Mus musculus: one gene and its partner. The protein of the gene in region 1 purifies or fractionates together with the protein of each later gene. This does not show direct contact. Links are inferred from orthologs where the notes say so. Each region holds a gene or a part of one and is shown on either strand. Other genes may lie near its edges.

Evidence for each region. The genes of interacting proteins can lie anywhere in the genome.
Region 2: the proteins of Sdc2 (region 1) and Ampd2 purify together in Homo sapiens (co-immunoprecipitation; 3 studies listed by BioGRID and IntAct, counting the BioPlex papers as one, with this or other methods). This does not show direct contact. The link is inferred for Mus musculus from reciprocal best matches to the Homo sapiens genes SDC2 and AMPD2.

Annotation. Positions count from the first base shown.
Region 1 is NC_000081.6:33,014,680-33,018,327, forward strand, and holds part of Sdc2 (syndecan-2 precursor), read left to right. Parts: intron 1-2,422; coding exon 2,423-2,534; intron 2,535-3,648. UniProt on the Homo sapiens protein: Cell surface proteoglycan which regulates dendritic arbor morphogenesis.
Region 2 is NC_000069.6:108,083,669-108,087,416, reverse strand, and holds the start of Ampd2 (AMP deaminase 2), read left to right. Parts: upstream 1-1,189; coding exon 1,190-1,199; exon of another isoform or gene 1,200-1,441; intron 1,442-1,990; exon of another isoform or gene 1,991-2,023; coding exon of another isoform or gene 2,024-2,170; intron 2,171-2,748; exon of another isoform or gene 2,749-2,836; intron 2,837-3,748. Other genes in the region: Gm12500 (uncharacterized protein LOC791415), read right to left, coding at 574-1,191. UniProt on the Homo sapiens protein: AMP deaminase plays a critical role in energy metabolism. Catalyzes the deamination of AMP to IMP and plays an important role in the purine nucleotide cycle.

The DNA of each region.
Region 1 (3,648 bases):
TAAGATTTAGCAGTGTGCAGTAAGGAGGCTTTCAGGGAGGTCCTGCTGTTGAGTCTAAGATGCCTTGTACACCAACACTGACAAATGCTTTCTTTTTTATTATATTAAAACGACAGGTCATTTTTATATAAAATAACAGTTCCACGTACCCAGATTTTTCCTGTGTACTTTAAGTCATCTCCTGGCTACTTATAATGGTTGTGCTGATAGCTGTTGTTTATTATGGTATACACTCAGTACCGAATTTTTTAAAATTTATATTCACATTATTTTGTGACAGGGTCTTATTAAGTAGCCCAGGCTGCCCTCAAACGTGTGATTGTCCTACCTCAGATTCATTAGTACCATTATATATTTACACACACACAGTTTTTCAACCTACAGTAGTTTGAATTCATATATGTATGAATGTATATCCCAGGAATGTTAGGGGGCTATGTGCACAGCCTTCTCCCACAAAAGAGCTGAGAATGTAATAGGGTCAGAGAATGTATGAGGCTAGAGTATACAGAAGTCCCTACTCAGTTTGCAAGCTTTGAGAATTAAAATATGGAATGATCAGAGGCTTGGAGACTGGTATTTTGTAGAACTGTCTCAGATTACAGATGAATCTAACTGTATGTCTGGACAGCTCCAGAACATTCTTGGCTGCTGTGAGAGGGGTGTTACTCATGCCTGCAAACCAGCCTGCTGGAACCCAAATCCCTAAGGGCTGTGGCCTCTTAATTGCCCAGTGTGATATCTCAAAGTGATTCCCATCCTTCTTTGTTCCTTGGCATCAAGGCCAGTGGAGATTGTGGGCTAACATTTAATATCCTCCTGCCTCTCCAGCAAGCCCCTGAAACTTGAGAGGACAAAGTGTTGCTTTCAGAGTGTGCCTGCTAGTTTTCCCAGGGAGGTTCACGCATATTGACTGTTGAAACCGAGTTTTATTTTTAGAAGAAATCTAGTGGAAACCAACATAGTAAGGGGAATTTTTTCTTATATATATAATTCCGTGAGGGACAAACATTCCAATTTGATCGTTAAAAATAGGACTAAAATGAATGTCATTTGTTCCAAAAACTGCTAGTCTGAGATACTTGTAGTAAAATATCAATTTACTAAATCCTTTTGTAAAAAAAATTCCACTTCTGCTCTGTCTGCAATTCATGCAAGTTACTTCTTGGGCAAACATAGACTGAATTTTAATCATGGCCAATTCTTGAAAAGCTGAGAGGCTCTGGAAATGGGATAGTTGGTGACTCAATCCTGCTCCACATCAAGCCTATGACTTGCTGTCACCAAGTGCCAGTAATACAAGAAAAAGTACTCTTGTGGGTTTATCTGTTTGTCATTAAACTTTGCTAAGCCAGCAAGCCTGAGAAGTAGGCTTGCCATGGACTTTCACCATTGGCATATGAGCTCCACAGGCCCTGTTCCACACAGATTACCTTGCCTGATGTCAGTGTGGGTCTGGTCTGTACAGAGATCTCTGGTTTTCCCTAGTAACTGGAGAGCACTTATCTGTAGTGAGAAAGCCACGCATGGCCACGCCTGTTAAGTATCTGGTGTGTATACGTCCCTAAGTGATTATTTAGCCTAGTGTCATAATACCTTGCTTTATGTTTCCAAGAAAATCGTAAATAATTTAGGCATTCTGTAGCTTAACATTAATCACTAAGTAATCTCATTTGTGATAGAATGAATGTCTGAGATAGTTTAGTAACTTAGAACAACAGATACTCAGGTAAGTGAAGTGGGGTGCAATGAGCTAAGCCTATGCCAGACTTGGATATCAGTGCGGTCATTATTATATAAGATTAGGCCACGTGAGCTTCCTTGGGGTTTTGTGTGTGTGTGTGTGTGTGTGTGAGAGAGAGAGAGAGAGAAGGGTGGCTGGACAGGAGAATGCAGAACACAGCTGCAAAGTGACAGATCTTCAATACAGCATATGCAAAATGTGAACAGTAGACAAAGCAGAGCCTTTCTTTTCTTTTTTTTTTAATTAGGTATTTTCCTCGTTTACATTTTCAATGCTATCCCAAAAGTCCCCCATACCCACCCCCCCAATCCCCTACCCACCCACTCCCACTTTTTGGCCCTGGGGTTCCCCTGTACTGGGGCATATAAAGTTTGCAAGTCCAATGGGCCTCTCTTTGCAGTGATGGCCGACTAGGCCATCTTTTGATACATATGCAGCTAGAGACAAGAGCTCCGGGGTACTGGTTAGTTCATAATGTTGTTCCACCTATAGGGTTGCAGTTCCCTTTAGCTCCTTGGGTAATTTCTCTGGCTCCTCCATTGGGGGCCGTGTGACCCATCCAATAGCTGACTGTGATCATCCACTTCTGTGTTTGCTAGGCCCCGGCATAGTCTCACAAGAGACAGCAGAGCCTTTCTTAATCTGACCATCCTGAATTGCTTATCTTTCCTTTCTCAGAGAACAGAGCTGACATCCGATAAGGATATGTACCTTGACAATAGCTCCATTGAGGAAGCTTCAGGAGTATATCCTATTGATGATGATGACTATTCTTCTGCCTCAGGCTCAGGTAAGGCTGCCTACTGGATGCCATTCTCTATACCCCGGCATGCACACATTTCGCTGTGCCTTCTTCCGTTACAAGCACAGCATGTGTCATAGTCATGAGCATGGTTTGGGGATACAAATTCCAGTTCAAGCTATGAGAACTTTGGAACCTAACTTTGCTGAGTCTCAGTTTCATTATTTATAAGTGGAAATAAATAACTATATTTACCACTGAGTTAGGTATTCATCTCTGTGAAGAGACACCTGACAGCAACTCATAAGGGAAAACATTTAATTGAGGATGGCCTACAGTTTCAGAAGTTTAGTAATTATCATCATGGCAACATGCATGGCAACGTGCACACAGACATGGTGCTGGAGGAACCAGAGTTCAACATCTTGATCCACATACAGCAGGAGACTGTGTGCCACACTAGGTATAGCTTGAGCATAGGAGACCTCAAAGCCTACCCTCACAGTGACATACTTCTTCCACACCTACTTCACCAAGGCCACACCTCCTAATAGTGCCACTTCCTATGGCCAAGCATTCACACACACAAGTCTATTAAGGCTGTACCTACTCAAACTACCACAATCATATAAAGTTTTTCATGGATAAATGGAGTTGAGGAGATAGCTTTCAGTTTTATTGTTAAAAATTTTAGAATATGGTCATAGAAACCACCGTTCAAGAAATCTTTCAAATACCCATTTAATAAAATGCCTGCTCTATGTTAAGATTATACACAAAAACAAAAACTTACAGGCTTTTAAAGTATATTGCTCATAAGTAGGAGGAACAGAACTGCAGCTATGTAATATAAAGATAGATTTATGTCTTTGATTTCTTCAGTGTATTAGTTGTCTATTGTCTCTGCAATGTTGCCTAACAAACCATCCGAACACTAAGTACTTTGAAGCAGTGGGCATTTGGTTAATTCATTATCCTGCATGTTTTCCAGTTAGAGGCAGGCTCTACAATGGCTTACAGCTGAAGCTTGGCTGATTTTGGCTTAACTCTGTCGTGAGCAGACTTGGCTTTAGTCCACATGGGCCCTTCAGTCTCCAGGTGACCAGCCATATTTTCACAGAGTGAAGCAAAAATCTAATCCTAAACTTACAGTTTGGTACAA
Region 2 (3,748 bases), on another chromosome or scaffold:
AGGTACAGGCTGCCCCTGGGAGGCAGGAATCCTTGTTTGAGAGGGTGTCTGTGGCCCTATTCAAACAGCCCAATTTCTCATAACCCACAAGGAGAAATCAGTGAGCTGGCCATAGTGATCCCAGGCCAAAGAAATCTTCCAGGAACACTGATTGGGAAGTAACTTACAGGCCAGGCACAAGTCTAAGCACTTATAATTATCTCCTTTATCTTCATCAGAGCGGGTGTAAGAGCCAAAGTTAACCAGTAAAACCCAGAGAGAAGTTCACCATCAGTCAGAAAGTAGGTGGAGATGTCTGAATTTGAACCTAGGCATTCTGGCTAGTCTAACGTCAACATAGAAATTAATGTGGGATGGTGAACCGGCTTTGAAGGGCACATCCTGCCTACCAATGACTGATAGAAGGAAATAGATTCAGGTGGGAATGCGGAGAATTCAAGGGCAGGGCTTCTGCTTGAAATGGATTCTGGGACCCTAATAATAGCTACCTGACTTTGTGCCAGACATTGTGCAAAGGGGATTTACCTTCAGTCCTCAGTAACTCCTTTCTTTGGATGGGGTGTTTCCATTGCCTCATCCCATCTTACTGATGAGGAAACTGACGCACAGAAATCGCCCAAGACCAAAGGGCCAAGCCAAGGCCAACCCTGGTCCGGAGGCTGCCCACGTGGCGTAAGGGAACTGGGAAAATGGTTGGGGCGTGGCCAGGAGGCCAAGAGGCGTGGCCGAACGGGGCGTGGCCGCGGACTTGGCGGGGCCTGGGGTACGCGAGATTGGCGCGCAGCCCGGAAGGTTTCGGCGGGGTCGCACCTGTTGCGTGACTCCCCCGTAGCCCGGCCACAGGAGCCGGATCCCTAATTGATTCCCAGAAAGTGGTGAAAGAACCCTAGGCGAATTCCGGGTCCGGTTTTCTGGGGAGCACGTGGCCTGTTTCCTCTTGAGTGCAGGCTTGGGGTCGCGACTCCGGGGTCTCCTGAGGTCAGTCTGGCCGCTGAAGTCGGCGGGAGTCCGCCCCCCGGCCAGCTGGCCATTTTGAAAACCTTGCCTTCCTTCCCGCTTCTCAGTGCGGGTGCAGGGGCCAGTGGCGCGACTTCGCCCCGGTGGGGGCCCTCTCCCCTCTTCAGCCCGGCTCCCTCGCTGTGCAGACTTTCGTAGGCTGCCTTCCTGGTCCACGCGGGACTTGGGCAGCATGGCCTCAGGTAAGTGTGTGGCGCGTGTGTGGTTGATAAAGGGACTCCAAGGCAGAGGTGCCTGGGTCGGGTGATAAGTGGGTGGGGGGTCTTGGCAATGCCTGCAAGACCTAGGGGACGTGAACGGCTCCTAGAAGGGTCCAAGGAAGCAGATCTTGAGTGTACAGGCAGAGCGACAGGTCAGAGTAGGCTGGGGTCTTTCCCATCGACCTCAGACAAGACCCAGCCTCCTACTCTTCCTGTCTTCCTAGGAGACAGCTTCTGCCGGTCAGTGGAATTTTCCCAAGACAGGCCCCTCCCTCCTGGGCTCGAATTCTCAGTTCTGCCTCCTCCCGGAGCTGGGCTGTCCCTAGAGCAGGGGTCAGATGGAGAAGAAAAGAGGGGGGCTCTGCCCCAGAGGCTCTGGGTTTTCATGAGTACCGTTGTTCCTTCCCTGGAGGAAATGGGTTTTGAGGTTGGAGCTCAGGCGGTATTCTTGCCTATTATTTTTCTCTCTGGCTGGCTGGACCAGCCTAGCCTGGACTTTGGCTTCTTTGCCTTGGAGCCTTGGCAAGGGATGAGGGTTCCCGAGGTGGGGTGAGGGTAGTAAAGAGCTTAGAGCTGGTGCTGCTCCATCTGTTTTCTCTGCATCCCGACCCCGGCCCTAGCCACCATCAGACAGGGCACTCTAAAGACTGGAGTGGGAAGAGAGGGATAAGGGGCAGGATGGAGGCCCCACTCCCCGAGGTTGCCTAGACAACATCAGAAATCGTGGCCAGAGCCTCTTCCGCCTGCGGGGCGCTGCTTCCTGCATCAGTCACTCCCGCTGGGGGCGGGGCGGAGGAAGGGGTTGGATGTGGGAGAGCTTGGCCCCAGCCGGTGAGGTTCCTCCGCTGTCGCCTTGGCCCCAGCCATGGCATCCTATCCTGGCCCAGGCAAGTCCAAGGCCAAATATCCCTTTAAGAAGCGGGCCGGCCTGCAAGCTTCCGCTGCCGCTCCAGGTGAGAGTTCTTGGTTTCAGGCATGGGTTCCCCTCCTCTTGTCCAGGCCACTGAGTGCCTCCGATAAGGTCCCCTTCTGCAGCACCCTCTCTGCAATGATGCCTCTCGACCTCGGTTCCCCGGTTCCCCGGCTGACTGGCTGACTTGATGGCGCAGGGAGGGAGGTGGGAGGGGGTGCCTGAGGTTTCCATGTCAGGGGTGCTGCCCTCCGTAACAAGGAGTGGGTGTGGATGTGGGTGCCCACGAGATGTATATGCACACGTGTCAGCTTGTGCAGATGCTAAGACTGCGTGTGAAGTGTATGTGAATGGAGTGGGGAGGGTGTGGGACTGACTGCGGACTGGCTACTCTGATTGGTACCAGGCAGACTCAGGCTAGACTTGCCTTTACTTATTCTTTCCAAGACCCTAGATCTAGAACTCCCTCCCTGGTGAGTGGGGTGGTGAGGTCTGACATATGGGGTCATGCATTGCTAACACCTACACAACCAGATTGCTAACACCTATTGCCAGTGTCCTTCCTGTTGGCTTGTTCCAGGCCTGTGTTGTGAATTTCTTCAGGAGAGTGGGGAGCCCTTGAAATGGCTGGTGGGCTATGTACGCTGCATCCTTTGGACCTAAGTGGGCATCTCTGCACCATCTGCAGCTGGCCCTGTGGTCCATCCTGGTGAGGACTTAGCTACTAGAGTTTGTGCTTCCAGGGATGTGTCTTTAACTCTCAAGTCTAATGGCTAAAAGAAAGACATTTCGATGATTGATTGGGTGTTATCAACTCCTTATAGCTGCCTGTATTGACACCCTGACTAACCGCCTCTGGCCTATTCTTATCCTGCTGACTGTGCTTATCTAGGCTTTGTACTGTACTGAGATAGATTCTCTGTGCTCGCATCTGTCTTCTAGGTGTATGCCCTGGGACTAGCTCTGTGCTGGTTACTCTGTTGCTGAACCAGAGACCCTTAGGTGCTTATACCTTGAGAGCATCTTCTACTTGGGGTCAAGGCCTAGTGAGGCAGTCTTGAGTGAGTGAGTGAGGATGCTCCCAGTCAAAGGTGATTGACTAAGCACCAGAAATCCTGGAGCTGATGGAGTGGTCCCCTTTGGCTTTTGCCTGTATGTGTGGTACTGTAGATGCCAAGTTTTGGCACAGGGCCAGGGAGATGGATCCTGGCTTGGAGAGTGGAGGATAGCGCCTGTGCTTCTCCTCTGGTGAGTCCCTAGCAGTCGTTTACAGTCTTGTGGTATAGTAGGAGGATGGCTCTGGCTGCTGGTACCCTTCTTACTCACCTAGCTCGTCTGTGTAGTTCCAGGCCTATCTGATAGGAAAGGGTTTAAAATGAGGACTCTGTCTTCCTTTCTGCAGCCCTGTGGTCTGCCTTCAGGGACTCTAGAAGTGGTTGGTGGCTTGGTGTAGTGACACATACCTGTAATTAGCTATTTGGGAAGCTGAGGCGGGAGGATCATGAGCTCCAGGCATGCAGAGACACTTGGTAAGATCCTGGCTGGAAGTAAAAATAGAAAAGAATGAGGATATGGCCCAGTGGTAAGGACTTCCCTAGCTTACACAAGACCTCAGGTGTGG